Nothobranchius furzeri: one gene and its partners. The protein of the gene in region 3 interacts with the protein of the main gene of each other region in a pairwise test. Links are inferred from orthologs where the notes say so. Each region holds a gene or a part of one and is shown on either strand. Other genes may lie near its edges.

The links.
Region 1: the proteins of alpha-1,6-mannosylglycoprotein 6-beta-N-acetylglucosaminyltransferase B (region 3) and dmrt3a interact in a two-hybrid assay, tested with the Homo sapiens proteins (2 studies listed by BioGRID). The two-hybrid records come from large-scale screens. The link is inferred for Nothobranchius furzeri from reciprocal best matches to the Homo sapiens genes MGAT5B and DMRT3.
Region 2: the proteins of alpha-1,6-mannosylglycoprotein 6-beta-N-acetylglucosaminyltransferase B (region 3) and hoxa1a interact in a two-hybrid assay, tested with the Homo sapiens proteins (2 studies listed by BioGRID). The two-hybrid records come from large-scale screens. The link is inferred for Nothobranchius furzeri from reciprocal best matches to the Homo sapiens genes MGAT5B and HOXA1.
Region 4: the proteins of alpha-1,6-mannosylglycoprotein 6-beta-N-acetylglucosaminyltransferase B (region 3) and pitx1 interact in a two-hybrid assay, tested with the Homo sapiens proteins (2 studies listed by BioGRID). The link is inferred for Nothobranchius furzeri from reciprocal best matches to the Homo sapiens genes MGAT5B and PITX1.

What each region holds. Positions count from the first base shown.
Region 1 is NC_091750.1:37,736,886-37,741,176, reverse strand, and holds dmrt3a (doublesex- and mab-3-related transcription factor 3a), read right to left. Parts: upstream 2,862-4,291; 5' UTR 2,745-2,861; coding exon 2,313-2,744; intron 1,258-2,312; coding exon of another isoform or gene 1,235-1,257; coding exon 272-1,234; 3' UTR 146-271; downstream 1-145. UniProt on the Homo sapiens protein: Probable transcription factor that plays a role in configuring the spinal circuits controlling stride in vertebrates.
Region 2 is NC_091751.1:29,552,079-29,556,234, reverse strand, and holds the start of hoxa1a (homeobox protein Hox-A1a), read left to right. Parts: upstream 1-1,319; 5' UTR 1,320-2,487; coding exon 2,488-3,088; intron 3,089-3,446; coding exon 3,447-3,826; 3' UTR 3,827-4,156. UniProt on the Homo sapiens protein: Sequence-specific transcription factor. Regulates multiple developmental processes including brainstem, inner and outer ear, abducens nerve and cardiovascular development and morphogenesis as well as cognition and behavior.
Region 3 is NC_091752.1:49,892,005-49,896,092, reverse strand, and holds the start of alpha-1,6-mannosylglycoprotein 6-beta-N-acetylglucosaminyltransferase B, read right to left. Parts: upstream 2,812-4,088; 5' UTR 2,411-2,811; coding exon 2,343-2,410; intron 1,458-2,342; coding exon 1,345-1,457; intron 1-1,344. UniProt on the Homo sapiens protein: Glycosyltransferase that acts on alpha-linked mannose of N-glycans and O-mannosyl glycans.
Region 4 is NC_091750.1:54,396,662-54,400,894, reverse strand, and holds the start of pitx1 (pituitary homeobox 1), read right to left. Parts: upstream 2,838-4,233; 5' UTR 2,692-2,837; intron 2,045-2,691; 5' UTR 2,036-2,044; coding exon 1,990-2,035; intron 1-1,989. UniProt on the Homo sapiens protein: Sequence-specific transcription factor that binds gene promoters and activates their transcription. May play a role in the development of anterior structures, and in particular, the brain and facies and in specifying the identity or structure of hindlimb.

The DNA of each region.
Region 1 (4,291 bases), on a different chromosome or scaffold from region 3:
TTTTAGGAGAAAACCCATAAAAGCTTCTGGAAAAAGTCCCATCAGAACCACAAACACGTCCAGGCCGAACCCTCAATAATTTATTCAACAACACATGAAAACAATCGGTTCCGGTCCATTTCGGGTTATTTTGGCTCATTCCACATGCACAGTGAAAACATGCAGGCGGTCCGGTGGCTGACGTCATCACCCCCGGACCTGGTTCTGATTGTTTGACACACAGAAAAACACGCACAGGTCCATTTCCGGTTCTGCTCGGTCCCGGAAGGTTTCAGGTGGATGAGTTCAGGATGCGGGAGTCCGCGGAGTCCGAGCGCTCCTCGTACTCCTCATCCGGGGAGTAGAGGCCCGGTTTGGGCCCCAGGGAGCAGGCCTCCTCCTGGATGCTGATGCGCTGCTCCTCGGAGGTTCTGGAGGAGACCAGCGGAGAGCCGCGGAACACGGACGTCCCGGAACCGGCGGGGGCGGCCGGTGTGAAGGGAGACACGTACTGGGTGGACCGGAGCTGGTACTGGTGCTGCAGGGCCACCGTGTTCCAAAGGGTCACGTCGTTGTGCACGAACGGGCTGGTCTGGCTGCGGGTCAGAGAGTTCCGCAGCATCAGCGGGTACCGAGCGGGCTGCGGGAAGGACGGGTGCTGCAGCGGGACGCCCAGCGGGCCGGTGGGCACGGAGGAATCCGACGCGAACCGGAGCGAGTCCGGGACCCGGAAGGCGGAGCCCACGGACCACTTGGCGGAGGAGGACACCGGGTGGTAGGAGCCCAGGGGTTCGAACAGGTGTCCGTTAGAGGGCAGAACCAGGCCGTCCGGGAGCGGATCCGTGTGCGCGTGCGCGCTCCCATCGGGGTTCCGGCTGGACAGCAGCACCTCGATGGCCCCCACCAGGTCCCCCCCACAGCCCCGCAGGATGAGCTCCAGCACCGGGGGCTTGTGGGACGGGAAGATCTTCTTCAGAACCTCCAGGGGGGGCCTGTTGGTTCGGAGGCTGAAGGGCCCGGGCCCGCAGAGACCCTCCACCTGCTCTCCGGGGGGGACCCTCTGGGGACTCTCGGCCTTCACCTCCTTCTCGGAGCCTCCGGCTTTGGAGAGGCTGTAGCGGGTCTCCTCTGGGTGGGGGGCGGGTTCTGAGGGTTCGGGGGTGTAACAGGAGTTCGGTTTGGATCCTTCAGGGGAGCTGACCGGGTCCTGCTCCTTCTCACTAGAGCTGCCTCCGTTCTCTCCTCCCGAGCCCTCCTCCGGACCGTCCTCCGCGGGCTCTGCAACGCAAGCATCAGAACTTAGCTCAATGGTTCTGGTCCAGTTCGGTTAGACTTTAATGGACCACACAGTCTTGGTTCTGTTCATCTGCAGAACCTCAAGTAGATATATATTTTTTGTCCAATTAGCAAATTAATTAACTGAAGTTCTGTGTTCCGGTACCATTTATCTGGATTCGGTCCGCTTCTGCAGCAGGTCGAGTCCAAATCAGAGTTTTAACCAAACTCACGAACTTTCAAAGGAAGAAGGTGAATTAAAAACAAAATTTAAAAATTCTAAAAAAATAAAACATTTTATTTGTTTAATAAAAATCTAAATAAACAAATAAATCCAAAACTAAAATAAAAAAGGAATTTTAATAAAACTCGAGGATGTTTACTCACAAACATGTCATAAAATGGCATTTTACCCACAAAACAAACATTTCTGATCAAAAACAACCAAAACTAATAATATGATTAAATTAAGAAAAGGATCTGAAATAAAACAAATTTAGTAAATTCTTTACTTGTTTTTTACCAACTGTTTTTTAAACGTGTTTATTGAAAATGTTCAGATTTATTCATAATGAACCCTTTGATGCATAATGGCCACTACAGTGGACAGGTTGGTATTTACTTGTTTAAGCAGCTGTTGAAGACTTTGTTGCATTTGAGCCCCTCCATTTGGACTTCAGTAGGGCAAGCCAACATGTTCAGAATGCAAGCTGTCCACTAAGGTGGAAATGTAATGTTATTTGTACATTATTAAATGTTACAAATAAAATGTTGTTGAAATTTGTTTCATTCACACCTAAAGATGAATGAAAAAATAGTTTAAAAATCATGGTTGAAGATTTCATAATTCATGCATCAAAGGGTTGATGATTACATCACGATTCCAGATAATAGTTTAGTCTTTTTAACATTTTAAATGTTTTAATAAATAAAAGCTGCAGACAATCATCTGTTTATTCTATAAAAGTTTGATCCTTGAACAAAAACGTATGTAAACTCTGATGTTTCAGTTACAGACTAAAATTCTGCAGTTCGGACTCGTTCCGGTCTGAACGAACCTTTCGGTTCGGTTCGGTTCTGCCTCTCCTACCTGTGCGTGTTTGCGCTCCGGCCTGCAGCGGTTCCGAGCCGCTCCACCGCAGCTCCAGCTCCTCTGTCCTCGGCGGGGCCCCCTGGCTCGCCTCGCCTGCCCCGCTCATGCCCATGCCGGGCAGCACTCTGAGGGACTCCGGGATGAGGCTCTCCAGGCTCTCGTTGGCCTGCTGCCTCCGCAGCGCCACCTGCGCCGCCATCACGCGCTGCCGCTCGATGATCAGGATGCACTTCTCGCAGGTGCAGTCCTTGAAGCGACAGTAGCGCTTGTGACCTTTGAGCCACGAGAGCACGCCGTGGTTCCGGCAGCGCGCGCACTTGGGGGTCCTCTGCAGCGGGGCCCGGGGCTGGGACACCGGGGCCCCCATGTAGAGGTAGGGGGACCCGTAGCCGTTCATCCTGTGGGTCGCAGCGAGTTCTCCGGGAGGACGCAGAACATGTGAGGAGGAGCTCAGACACGCGGAGGAGCAGGATGGAGCTCCGCTGCTGCACGCATGACAGGAGGAGGTGTTGGCTTGGGGTGGAGGGTCCAGCTGATAAGGATCCGGCGGACACGCTCCTCTGGAGACGAGTAACCAAACGCGTCAACGCGCTGCAAAAGGTGTCAGCGCGAGGCAGAAAAAAAGGGGGCTCGCGCCCCGTTTCCGGTCTGAGATCCGGTTAACGGGAACAAACAACCTTACATCAGACGTTAATTGTTTGTCTGAAACAGAAAGTTTGTGAAATTTCACCAAAAAAACAACAACAAAAAAACTAAAAATCAACTAAATAAAAACTGGAAACAAATAATTTTACCTAAAATAAGAAAATGTAAAAAAACTAAAACCGGAAATGTTTTTATTATTAAATAAATCATAAATATTTTTGATGATTTAGCCCAAAAATGAGAGATTATTTAACCCTTTGATGTCCATAAAAACTTTTCTCCCTAATTATTTTATTATGTCCCCAACACCGACATTAATGATAAGCTAATAAATATAAATATTAATAACATTATTATTTTTTTATTAACTACAACAATAATAATAATAATACATATTTAAAGTTTAATCCAACCATGTTTCATCTCAGTTTCAGATGAGGGGTCTAAAATCTGCTCTTTCAAAGGTCAAAGGTTAAAGCCATCACCTGTAAAGATCCGATCTCTGCAGCTAAAGACTAAACGCTGATGCCTGATTAGCTCTCTGTGGGTCTGAGGGCCCCTCTGGGGCCCGTGTGGAGCCCGCTGACGAGTCCCCTCTGCCGGACTAATAGAGGGCATTGAAACATAACACCGGACAAAGCCGGGGCTCATTTCTGACCGTAAAAAAGGTTTATTCAAGCAAATAATGGGATCGGAGCGGCGCGGTGTGGCTTCTGCTGAATAGGAGCCGGTAAACTTCCCGCCTGGATCCCGTCTGCGGGACTATTAAGCTTTTAATTGGAAAACAGCAGAAGGAATCTCAAGGTGACTAGAGGCTCCGCAGTTTGTGCCGGACCAGTAGATTTGTGGGAGTGGGAGGCTGCAGGTGGACGCATAATAAATTTATTCATGTTGTTCTTGGATAAAGAGGAAAAACACAAACCCAGATAAAAGTTTACACCGCACCGTTGGAGCAGCAGAACCCGGACCGGGCCGGGCCGCTTCCCGGTTCTAATTACATGCTGCTGCAGCACTCGTGTTTTATGCTCCGCTGTGTAAAACACAACAGAGGTTTGTACTCCGGCTGCGTTTTAGGATGATTTAAAATAAAAACGGGAACATGGAAAAAATAAACAAATAAAAGCGGAATTATGGATAAAGAAATATCTAAAAAACAAATAAATAAAACTTAATCCTTTAAATTCCTAAAAGTATCTGCGCTCCGGTGTAGACTCGGGACCCGGCTGATACCAGTCAGCACCGGCCGATTTAAAGCAGGCACATCCTGGGCAGCCCGCTGCTGTTGCTGATCGAGTTCCT
Region 2 (4,156 bases), on a different chromosome or scaffold from region 3:
AGGAGCTCATAAATCACTCCGTGGCATGAATGAGGCGGACATTAAAGAGAGCAATTGTGGCGTAATGTGCACAAATAAAAACCCCACTTACGTTTTCATGCGGGACTCCCCGATTCCTAAGCTAAAAGGGGCCGAGCTCTCTGCGTGCGTTTGGTAATAATTCATTTTTATGGCTTGTTTAACACGCGGCTCTGACTCGGAGACAGCAGCAGCAGCAGCTCAGGTTAAAGCTGCTCTTATTTAGCGTCGCTTCTCCACTCACACTGGTGGAATCTGTGATTTTTTTTATTTAAAGACAAGACTGGTTTGTGTGCGTTTCAAACCCCTCACTTCAATAAAGGGATTATGAACATTTTAGCACTCTTGCGCAGCTTTGATTGGATTTATGGGAACTCAATAATCCAGTTTAACTCAGAATCACTAAAAAACACCAGTTGAGATGAAAGCTGCAGTGATTTTTCAAAACGTGTCAAACTTAGCCGAAAGCAGAAAATCAGCTCTAACTTTGGCTGTGTGCGTGTGTGGGTGTGTGTGTGTGCGCGCGCGCGCGCGTGTGTTCAGATGAGGGGGTGGTAGGAGGAAGCAGGGGGCAGATGCTGCTCTCCTGCACTACGGGCCTGCATAACCAAATCATTCCGAGACAGCGCGCCTTTTCTGCGCCCCCGCGGCCACACAAAGAGCCGCGGAATCTCCGCGGGGCCCGGCTGGCCTCAAGCAGCAGAGACGCGATGGATCCTCCGCGCCCACTCACTACAGAGGCAGCTGCTGGAGAGGGGTGGGGGTGGAATGGAAACCAGTTCGTCTCTCTCTCTCTCTCTCTCTCTCTCTCTCTCTCTCTCTCTCTCTCTCTCTCTCTCTCTCTCTCTCTCTCTCTCTCTCTCTCTCTCTCTCTCTCTCTCTCTCTCTCTCTCTCTCTCTCCCTCCCTCTGCTATGTAGTTTGCAACAAGTCTTTGAACATTTTCACATCTAATTTTGTTTTTCTAACATCCTAAAACATTACATTTAAGACAAAGTAGAACTACATTTGACTAATGGAAAAAAGCTGCACATTTGAATGTTGCTAATATTTTACTGATACTGCTTGTTTGAGTACCAGTGAGACAACTTAGACGTTTGTAGGAAAAATAAATAGAGTGTAAAATCTGAATCACGCTTTTCTGAGCTGAATTAATCTACTTAATAACAGAAGCACGTTTATTTAAGTGCATGTCTATCTTCAGCCTGAGGGGGCGCTCATCCCTCCATCTGATCCTTCCCTTCGCCCTCCCTCCCTCCCTCTCCTCTATTCCTTCCTCGGTTAGAGGTTGGGCATCTGCTACAACCCCCTCACTCCCCTCCGCTCTCGCGCCTCCCGTGACCATTCGTTTTCCCAGCAGCTTTATTTGATGAACTTAACAGGATAATCAGCCCACTCGCACCTCGGGCTACATATGCGCATTAGCAGGCTTCGCATTATTATATCATTTGATCACCATACATGCATAATGAATACATGCGGGACTGGAACTCTGGTAGATGGCTGACCTATGACCCGAGAACGGAACAAAACATTAATATCACATCACCTTAATGGTTTTGTCTCCTAATCACGTTTGTGCGCTACTTCAGGCACATTTTAAACGTAATTTGAGCTTTTTGCGCATCCTTTTGCGGTGTTTTATGAATATATGACCGGATCATCTCTCCTCGTAACGTGAAATGCACAAACCTGCTCCTGCTGCGACCTTAAGAGGAAACGAAATTCTGCTGGAAGGTGGCTTGGTGCGATGGGATGGATGTATTTAACAGGGGAAACACGTCCTCTCCATCACATTGTAACAATATTTGCCCAGAAAATCCCTTAATGTTCCAGCGTGAAACATTTCACATCGGAATGGGACATTAATAGCCTAAAGATAGCCCGCGGCTGCAGCGAGCGCGCGCACTCTCAGCCATCCATCCTTCCTGGACAGAATGACACATGCGACACCAGGGCTTATACGCACGGAGACGCCAACACACGCGCGCACGCACACAGACTCACACTTCTCTGTTCTAAAAATACCTGAGGTCAGAGTGCAGAGCGGTCCACCTTGGATGACATCTCTCCTCAGTGTGAGATTGCGCAGCAGGGGGGTTAAAAGACACCGGGTTCACCGTCTCAGCAGCTCCTCGTGTGTCCCGGAGCTGTCCACCTCCGTCTGCCTCCCAGCCCATTGTTTGCTCGGCCAATACATTAGTGGCGACGCGCGTCACCTTGATCGACGAGCGCCTGGAATTTAAATAGCCCCTCAAACACCAATCTGTCACCGGCTAAAGGGACAAGGACCCTCACTGGCTGACCCGTGCCCACGTGACAGTGCCCGTTCATTGATATCCCCAGCACCCCCCTCCCTGCACTGATAGGGACAGAAAGGTAAAGGTTGGCACGGTCACTTTAGGGTGAGAGTGTGGAGAGATCAGAGGGGGAGAGGACAGTCTCCTGGTCCCAGACTAACGATGCTACAATGAGCAGCTTCCTAGATTACTCGGTGATGAGCGGTGAGGGTGGCTCATGTTCGATCAGGGCTTTCCACTCGGACCACGGGATTACAACTTTCCAGTCCTGCGGGGCTGCAATCAGCAGCTGCGGGGCGGATGAGCACTTCATGGCAAACAGGACTTCCCCTGACAGCATCCCTCACCAGCCGGCCTCTTACCAGCCTACTGCCACCTCTATGGGTCTCTCCTATGGGGCCCACCCGGCCTGTGGCTCTAACTATGGGCCCCAAAGTTTCTGCGCCACGTACAACCACTACACACTCAACCAGGAAGTAGACTCTGCACCTGCATTCCCCCAGTGCAGCCCTTTGATGTTTTCAGGTAACATCTCTTCCTCCATGGTGTCTCAGCATCGCCATGGCTACAGTGCTGCCACCTTGGGCCAGCTGCAGTATGCTGCTTATGGCGGGGGTCATGAACAGGCACCTTCTTATCCTGGGGCCTCCAACCCGCTGTCACCTCTGCATGCAGCTCACCTGGAAGCTTGCTGCTCACCTCTGTCAGAGAGCGCATCTTCTGCGCAGACTTTCGACTGGATGAAAGTCAAAAGAAATCCACCGAAAACAGGTGGGTGCAGAGCTGTACCAGCACGAGGGAGATAGGTGGGAATCTAGTCTGTTGCTATTATTGGTTTTAATTGGTTTTAATCGGTCAAGCAGACTGGAATCCACACAGGAGATGTTGACACTGCGAGCGCGTTGACGCGCAAACGCATTAAATGTCCATGTTTCCACTTCAAGCGTGCGCCCCTTTCTTTTAAAAGTTGGTTTAAAGACATTTGTCTTTAACTATAGAGTGTGTTTTATATGTAAAATAATTAGGTTTTCTTTGCCTGCTGCGTAAAAGTTGGTTCTTTTGGATAATCGCACAGTTTGTGCGTCCTTTGGGTGAGAAAATAAACTTGAATCCCTCTTCCTGTCCCCAGGTCGCTCCGGCGAGTACGGCTATGCGGGCCAGCCAAACATCGTCCGGACCAACTTCACCACCAAGCAGCTGACAGAGCTGGAAAAAGAATTCCACTTCAACAAATACCTGACCCGGGCGCGCCGAGTGGAGATTGCTGCTGCGCTGCAGCTGAATGAGACTCAGGTGAAGATTTGGTTTCAGAATCGGAGGATGAAGCAGAAAAAGCGCGAGAAAGAGGGGATGCTGCCGGCTAAGGTCCAGTCATCGCACCCGGAAGAAATAAATCAAGAGAAATTAGACGATGCCGCTTCTGAGAGGTCCGTCTCAGCGCCGTCCACGCCCTCTCCCAGCTCATCCACGGTGTCCTCCACTGGCACGGACACGTACACCTCTACCTGAGCAGCCTATCTGGGCCACACGGGCCTGTAAATACCAACGTTTAAATGTATCAAAACCAGAGTCTTTGTTCGTGAATGACATTGTGTGAACATTTATTAAAGTTAGTCCTCCATCCGGGAGCTTTTGGATCACCCTGGAGCTTTAGGTTTAAATTGTGCAATGTGTCTGCAAGAACATCTCTGTATCTTCAGATAAGTTTGATCTGTAACGTGAGCAAAAAAAGGCAGACACGAGTCTGCAAACGAAAACAAATGTAAAGTGGTGTATCCGGGTCATGGCGGGTATGCAGCGCAGGGTGCTGTTAAGTGAGCAACGCAATGACCTAGTACG
Region 3 (4,088 bases):
GCTGCCAGATAGAGCATGCAATATCAGAGTTAGAGAGTCTCCAAAAGCAAAACAGCTCGGGTCACTTTTGTTTGATTATGGAGACAACGCAGACTTTGCCCCGCCCACATGCTCAGTGTTGCGCTGATGACATCACAGACCAAAGACCGCCCACGTTCTCAATTTTGTCTGCATTCCTAAGGCAGTGTGGAAGGAACGCGGCCGGGCCAGGGTGGACGCGGCAGAGAGGAGCGGAGTGGAGCTGATAAGTGTGAGTGTGTAAGTGCTAATAGTTTCCAAAATCTGTCCAAATCTGTTAGTGAGCACTTCTCCTTTGCCAAGATGATCCATCCCACCTAACAGATGAGTTTTCCACAGGTGTGCCTGTATGTTTAAAAAAAAAAAAAGCTCAAATAAAGAGTTTCCCAAGTCTGACCCGGGGCACTCGTATATTTGGTTCTAAATTGAATGTCGGATGTTTTTCTGGCCTGCCAGACTCGCCCTGTCTACTTTACACAGAGGATGTTTGCTTTCCATAAGGAAGCATTGGCATGGCTGGCCAGGCTATGGTGGATTGTCCCGTTGCCGGATTTCTGTAGTGGTGCATATGTCTGACATTCCGATTAATCCCAACATGTTTGATTGCGCATGGAGACAGTCTGAAAGACAACTGTGGATTCCTCCACTACAACTGAGCTCTGTGTCTGGGTCGGGCTACATTTCTACATATAAAGGGTTTTCTAGCACAAACGGCATGTTTAAGATCAAAGGTCAGGCTTGGACCTTCATAATTTTCCAGTGAAGAGCAGAAGTCATGAATTCATCGGTTACATCAAGTGGTCTGAAACGGCCCCAGACCACCAGCATGTCTGATTGCTGGTGTGATGCTTTTTCTGAAATGCTGTTTTAGTTTTACTTGAAATGTAATAAAACACACACCTCCCAGGAAATAAGACTTTCACTCTCTATTCCACTAAACCTTCTCCCTCAACGCTTTAGGAGATCATCAAGATTTATTTCGCTAAATGAGTTTTTGTGTTGTCTTTGCTCATCGTTGTCTGATACTGAAATCTGCATTTGAATTTGTTTCAAACGACCAACACTTCATCGCCGCCTTTTGATTATTAAAGATCAATCTGACTTTCCGTAAAACTGCGATTCATTTTTGCCAAAAATAAATCTATGTGGGTCAGAGTTTGGTCAGATGAGAAGACAGGATTCTCCCCCTCCGAGTTCTCCTGATGAAGGGGGTGAGCGGGTCCCCTGGCAGCAATCAAGCCAGCCCCACGGATCTCTGAGCGTGTTTCCAGCCTGCTCATTACCAGTGCAGGACACATCCGCTGGAGTCACTCATGTGAGACTTACCTTCAGCTCGCATGGTGAACGGCGAGTCTCCGGGTCGCTTGGCCAAGAACTGGCCCCCGAGAGAGGTCATTAGAAAGCACAGGCTGAAGAAGCCAACCCCCGCTACAAAGATCCTGCAGGAAAAAGGAGAAATTAGCTTCAAAGGGGGCAAATTACATGGTTAGAGCTCAGGGAATACAAGCAGCTAAAACAAAAGATAGGGTAGTAATTTCAAGCCCATATGGATGGGGGAGGATTTATAAAGCATGGACAAGTTCCTCAAATGACAGAATGTGCTTAGTTGATTTCAAACGAACCGTGTTTCTACGTTCCACGGTACTCAGTGGGTGCAAACAGCCAAAATAAACGCACTCATCCACAGACGAATGGAAGCTGCAAACATAAGCTGCGCTGTAAATATGTCTCCAGTGCTGTGGAATGATTTTCCTCACTTCGACTCGTCTGAAGGCAGTCGTGCTGAGTGGAGCTGGAGGACAGGCTGTCACACTCGGGTTTAAAACACATTCTTCTATCATGTTTTTATTTATGATCCTTCGCTGCAGCCTGATAATGATAATGGTGGAAAACAAGTCTCAGGTTGCTCACCATGATTGTACAGCTAGAGACAGAAGGGCTGATTATTAAATATGCAAATCTCCCAAGTTTGGAGCATCTTGAGCGCTTTGATGAGGTGACTGTTTACTTGGCTCACACCGTTTGAGCTGAGTAAGCAAAGCTTTAATTGTGGATCAGCCTGGAGTTTCTGTCCAAATTAAGTGGACCGAGCATGCAGAATTGGCTGAATTCATTTTTTTAATTCATGCATTTTGCAATGCTTGCTGCAGTTTTTGCACAATGAGATTAAAATTATTATTTGATATGAAATTGCAGCATCTGCAGATCTTAAGGTCGGTTTTCCGCACAAGTTATAGACAGATGCAGCAAATGCAAAGGTGGAATAAAGTTTGATTCAGCGAAAATGCACCAGGTTGGTCCGTGCAGATGTGCGGCGCTCTCACCTGAACGGCTTGAAAGTGACAGGGCATCTCCTCACCATCATGGAAAGCTCACCGATGGCCGCAATCATTTTCCGCACGCAAACACAGCGCCAGTTCTCTCTAACATCGCGCTCATTTGCGCGAATGATCGCGTGGAAAGCGGTGGTGGATGTAGGTGGAGACGCGCAACTTCTGACTGATGTCCGCGGCGCGCTACCGCTGCTGCTGGGAGCAACTTCAGCGGAATCCTGGCTCCTGCAGACAGACAGCAGGTGGACAAGTGCACTGGTACCAGCAGGAGGAGGTTTCACGACCCAGTCCTGGAGGAAGCCTCTAATAAGGCTGGGAAATGTTCTGGGATTTCAGCAGCAGCAGAAAACCAAAGATGTTGAGTTGATTGGATCCTCGGAGTGGAGCTGACTTCGGTCTGAGCGCAGCTGCGGCTTGTTTACTCACAGCGCCATCTAAAGATCCATCCTGGAGCGCAAAGCGCTGATTCCTCCTGTCATCCTGACGCAAACACGTCATGGAGGAAGGAACAGGGAAATTATTACCAAGGGAATAACATCTGCGCTGCAATCAGTCCACTATAAGGACAGATTCAAATACTTAGATATATAGCATTCCGTATATTATATAATATAAGAAAAAAGGAAATTATTTCCTCATCAATAATGATTTACTTCCTAAAAGTTCAGGTATGGGGAGCCGAATGTAAAACAGCAGTTAAAATCCAATGTTTAGAATTCAATCAGATTATTATAAGTAAAATAAACAACATATAAGATCCAACCAAGTCCAGATATATACATTCATGTCTAAGTTATTAAAATTAAATCTAAATTTTGAAAGTTTACTCTAAATGTTAAGAGTCAAATAAAAAATTAAAAGAAGAAGAACAACAACAAAGGCTTTTATAAAGCGCCTTTCCTAACTGGTCTTCCCCAAAAAGCTGTGAAGCAACTGCAGCTTGTTCAGAATGCTGCTGCTAGAGTCTTCACAAGAACTAAGAGAACGGAGCACATCACTCTCTACACTGGTTACCAGTAAACTACAGAATAGACTTCAAAGTGATCCTACTAGTTTATCAGTGGCATGGGACCAAAATACATGTCCGATCTCATTCCTGGATATACACCCAACAGGGCTCGGAGATAAACAGTCAGCTGGTAGAACCTCAGGTCAGAACAAAACATGGTGGAGATGCATTTAGTTACTATGCTGCTCGCATATGGAATCAGCGTCTCCGTGACTCAGATCTGCCCCAACCCTAGTGTTGTTTAAATCAAAAACCCTAATGTACTGACCAGCCTTTAAATGAATAGTTTCTTATATATCTTCACTGAAACCTGCCTTGTAACGTTGTCTTCTCCTTTAGCTCTAAACTGTGTGTATTTCAATTTGTGTTTTTATGTTGTTTTCACATTATGTCCTGATAATTGTAAAGCACATTGAACTGCCTTTGCGTTTGAAATGTGCTCTATAAATAAAGTAGTCTTGTCTTGCCTTTCAAAATAAAATTCACAAACGTGGTAAATTTATCACATTTTAAATAATTTAAAATTGTAAAACGATTTATAAAATAAAATAAAACAATTCTAGCAACATTAAAATAAAGATTCAAATATAAAAACGAAAGTGAAAACAGAAAGGAGGCCAAAAATACACAGAAATAATAGAAACACCCAGGTACCAATTCCCCCTTAATACATGGGATAAAATCTAAAAAAAATCTAAATAGTAGCTTCCCTTCAGGAAAGGAAAATA
Region 4 (4,233 bases), on a different chromosome or scaffold from region 3:
ACATAAATGAGGTTAGTTTGGTGCGTCTGCTGCCTAACCGGGGCGCTGGTTCGGGTAAAATCAAGTCTGGACCACGCAGCGTCTCCGGCGCCACTGCCGACCATTGTATGACTGACTTCTGACATAAGATCCCCGTCCAACCAGGAAACACCCCCGAAGGCCCTATACCAAACAATTGTGAAAGCTCTCAGCAATCGCTTGGCTTTTGCCATCTGCTCTTCATCCTCTCCACACGCTGCGTGTTTTAGTGACAGGAACGCATCCGATCTGAGGGCCTGTGCTGGCCTGCCGGAGGAATACTCTCAAATAAGATCTGGTGATTTTGGAATTTAGGGTGAATTTCACTTCAGTGGTTTGGGAAGTTTAAAACTAAAGATGGTTTATTTATTTATTTAAAATAGTTTGGTATATAAAGATGTGTCAGCACGCAAACAAACACCACTGCGTCTGTGCGTAAATGTTTTTTCATCTCTGATGTATTTTGCACAGGAACTCAAAAGCTTCATCTGGACGCAGCATTGTCACGTGACCAATAATAGATGTAATTATCACCGACTGTTTGCATGCGAAATGATTATAAGGTTCAGCCTATGTTGGTCCCTTAGAAAAATGCCCCATTAAGCACTGGGCGAATTAAAAAATATATTGGATGCAGTCCAGTCTCATCCAACATCCTACTCATCAAACGCGATAGGTTGCACAAACGGAGATGTGTCAGTAATTCATATATGTTAATTATCATAAATCACGCAAGATTTTGCGGCATTTCGTGAAATCAGCGTTATTTTCATCATCTGGCCTCTCATTTAAAGAAGAATCCAAAATTGCATCAACATACATGCACGTTAGAATTTTGGAAGTCTACATTTATGCAGATCAGTTGAAATCTGCGTAAACCCAACGACCCCTCTGGTCCGCTTTGGAGTATTATGGGATTTACTGCGCTTGGGAGTCTCGCCACCTCAGCTCCAGAGATCTCTGAGCTTCATACGGCTGTGTGATAAATGGTGTTAATCTAAATACCCAGCCTCCATCCCTGCCCGCGTCCTTCTCCGTTCTGGAGGGCACTTGCGTGTGATGGATGAGTTAAAAAGTCTTTCCATCCGGCAGGACAGGTTAAAGGCCAGCGACAGCGCAAACACTCATGTTTTTCTCTCTAAGAAGTCAAAATAAACCCTGCGAACGCTGTTCATCACATAAAATTACAGTATTTGTGTTTTATTTCTCCGCACAGCAAAGGGGAGCGCGCAAGAGAAAACAAAGCAGCAAAAAACTGGAAGGCAGCGGAGATGTAACTGGAGACGGTGCGTAACTGGAGAAGGACAGAGCAGATTATTGCCTTGGTGATGTTTTCCCTGCTCGGGTCTAAAAGGCCTGTTTGACCCGCAGTGTGACTACCAGCCTAAACCCACAAAGAGACAGTCTGAGTAATTAAAACAGCTGCTAATTGGCAAAACTCATTCTCAATTTAGAAAAACATGTCAGCATTCCCAATGAACCCAATAAATTACTTATAAATCATTTAAACGTTCTCTAAAGTTTCTACAATCATGATTAAAATAAAATAACTGTACTTCTCTTGGTGACAACTCCAATTTTACGCACTGTTGCATTTTTTAGAATTTTTTTTCTAAACTGACAAAATATACCAGCGTATTACACAATTTAAATGTCCAAACCCTCTTAAATTGCGCACGAGTTTACATTTGTTAATGTTTTTTTAATCTTTAATTGTTTTTGTTAAACTCTGAAATCTTAAAGTTTGGTTAGTTGAAAATATTTTAATTAAAGACAATGTTTACATAAAACAGTTCCTAGATAATTCCAAAAGAGGGTATTTTTTCTCGTTTTTTAAAAAACCGGACAGAAAATTAATTTGCATCTCCCAGTTCCACATTTCATAGCTCCCTGAGCAAAGCAGCTTTTTGAGCGTAAAAGATGGAGAAATCTCTAATTCACAAACATTTTAAACCTGCAGCATCCTCTTACCTGGGTCCCCACAGGAAATCACATTCTTGGACAAATTCAGTTCCATTCCAGTTACCTGAAAAACAAAACCAGAGGACAAAACATATTAACTTTATTTATTAATGTCATTTTAAGTTGAACCAACACGCTGGTGTATCACTGCTGATTTCTTGTCATTTTTCCAATCCTCAAACATGGTTTTACAAGGAAATGTGAAAGAACAACTTTGAAGGAACCAAGCGAAAATCAGCCAATATTTACAGAGCAGCAGCTCCACCTGACAGCCTGCCACTGAATGCTTTTCTATCATTCATTCATTCATTCATTCATTCATTCATTCATTCATCTCGTGTTTTGGGCCCAACAGTAACATCACTGACCTAGAGACAGTTTACTTTCGCCCCTAACACCACACACACATATGCACGCACGCACGCGCATCCACAGATGCAGGAATATATTTGCTGTTCGTGTCCTCTCTATCTCCCATCACCAGCGCTGATCTGAACGCAGATGCGTGTTCTCTATAAAACGGTTATTTTAGCTTAATCCTCTCCTGCCTCTTTGACCTCCAACCAGATAGGAACACGCGCAGTTTACACTGATCACAGCGGCATGAATTGTCGCATTTATAGCTCTTCGTGAGCCCGGTGCGTAAAAACGCTACTAATTGAGCTGTTAAGTCTCCAATCGCCTAAAATCACACGCACGTGTTTTTCTCACCAGTTGTTTCCCAGCAGACGAAAGAGTAAAAGTAAAAACGCCTCACGGTGTCCCATGCAGGTGTCCCAGTAAATCCAGTTTAGCGTTGCCTGTGCGTAAACGCTGCGTCCTCGGTGATCGGCGCTTTGGTTAGCTCCGAGTTGTTGCCTTGGTTTTCTTCTTTGGCTCTCTACTGCACAGCCCCAACGTGACGTCACACATCCCTCCCTAGTCTCCCACCCCGTCACCTTCTTCATCCTCCCGCATCTTCGGTATGACCGAGTCTTCACAGCTTTATTCGGCATCGATTTCCCACTTTTTTTCATTTTCGTCATTTATTTCATTAGGATTTAAAACAGTTTTTCGATTGCAAAATGTTTGAAACCTGATTTCTGTATTTTAGCGGTTGCTTCAATTTAAATATTATAATTATTGTTATTACTGATAAATGTAGCAGATGAAAACACAACTTGAAGAAGGTAAAAAGATCTAATCGAAAATAATAATAATAATAATAATAATAATAATAATAAGTGAAGGTCGAATATCTGAAAAAAGTATTTTTTAACTTTATTTTAAAATTACTTTTTATTGTTTTCATCTCCAAACAGGAAATAATCATTCCTAATCCATATGGATTCTGACTCATATGTTTAGCTACATTTATTTATTTAAATCACATATATTACATTTTATTTTATTTTAGCTACTGAATCTTTAACGTTGCTCAGATTACACCCGTTAACAGTTTTTGAGTTACTTAAACAGACAAAAATATTTTATTTAACTTTTAATCTCCGATCAAAAGTTTATTTTAATACAAAATAAGTGTATAATGTAGGTTAAAGCGACGCTCCGAAAAATCATAGAAATCAATTAAAGCTGGTAATTAGGTTAATGTTTTCCGTGTGTGTTTGTATGTGTGAGTGTGTGTGTGTATGTGTATGTGTGAGTGTGTGTATCCGAGCAGAGGATGTAGGTCAGGTAGGCGGCCGAGCAGATTAAAGTATTCAAAACCCTTTATGAGTTTTCATTATTAGAATAAAAACATTGATTTACTTAGAAGCGTTTGAATCCGTTTTGGATCAATAATTCCAGCTTTAGCTTCACGTGCGCAGCTTCCTCTGACCAGAAACTTTACAGAAAGTGTGAAATTTGTTTGATCCCGTTTTCTTTTTTAATGCAGCCAAGAGCTGCGCACAAAGCAAAGCTCCGCTCTGAGACAGAAGGATTAAAGAGGAGTTGCGGGCCTCCATCAGACCTCCTTCAGGCTCCTTCTCGGCTCCTCTCACGTTAGCAGCTGTTCTGCCCAGTTTCTAACACCAGCTCCCCATTAACGAGACAATTTGGACACTTTAAGATTTAAGACCATCCAAGTAAATTTTTTTCAAATGTTCTTTTTTTTGGGGGGGACTAAAGTTATAAAGTGAACTTTACTAAGTGAACACTATTAGTTTGAAAACTTACAAGATTGATGAGCTAACAGCTAGTCCAATTTTTTCCCATTACACCCCTCCTGCCTGGAACTTTGTTTTCGCGCCTCTCTAAAACAAGATTTTTGCT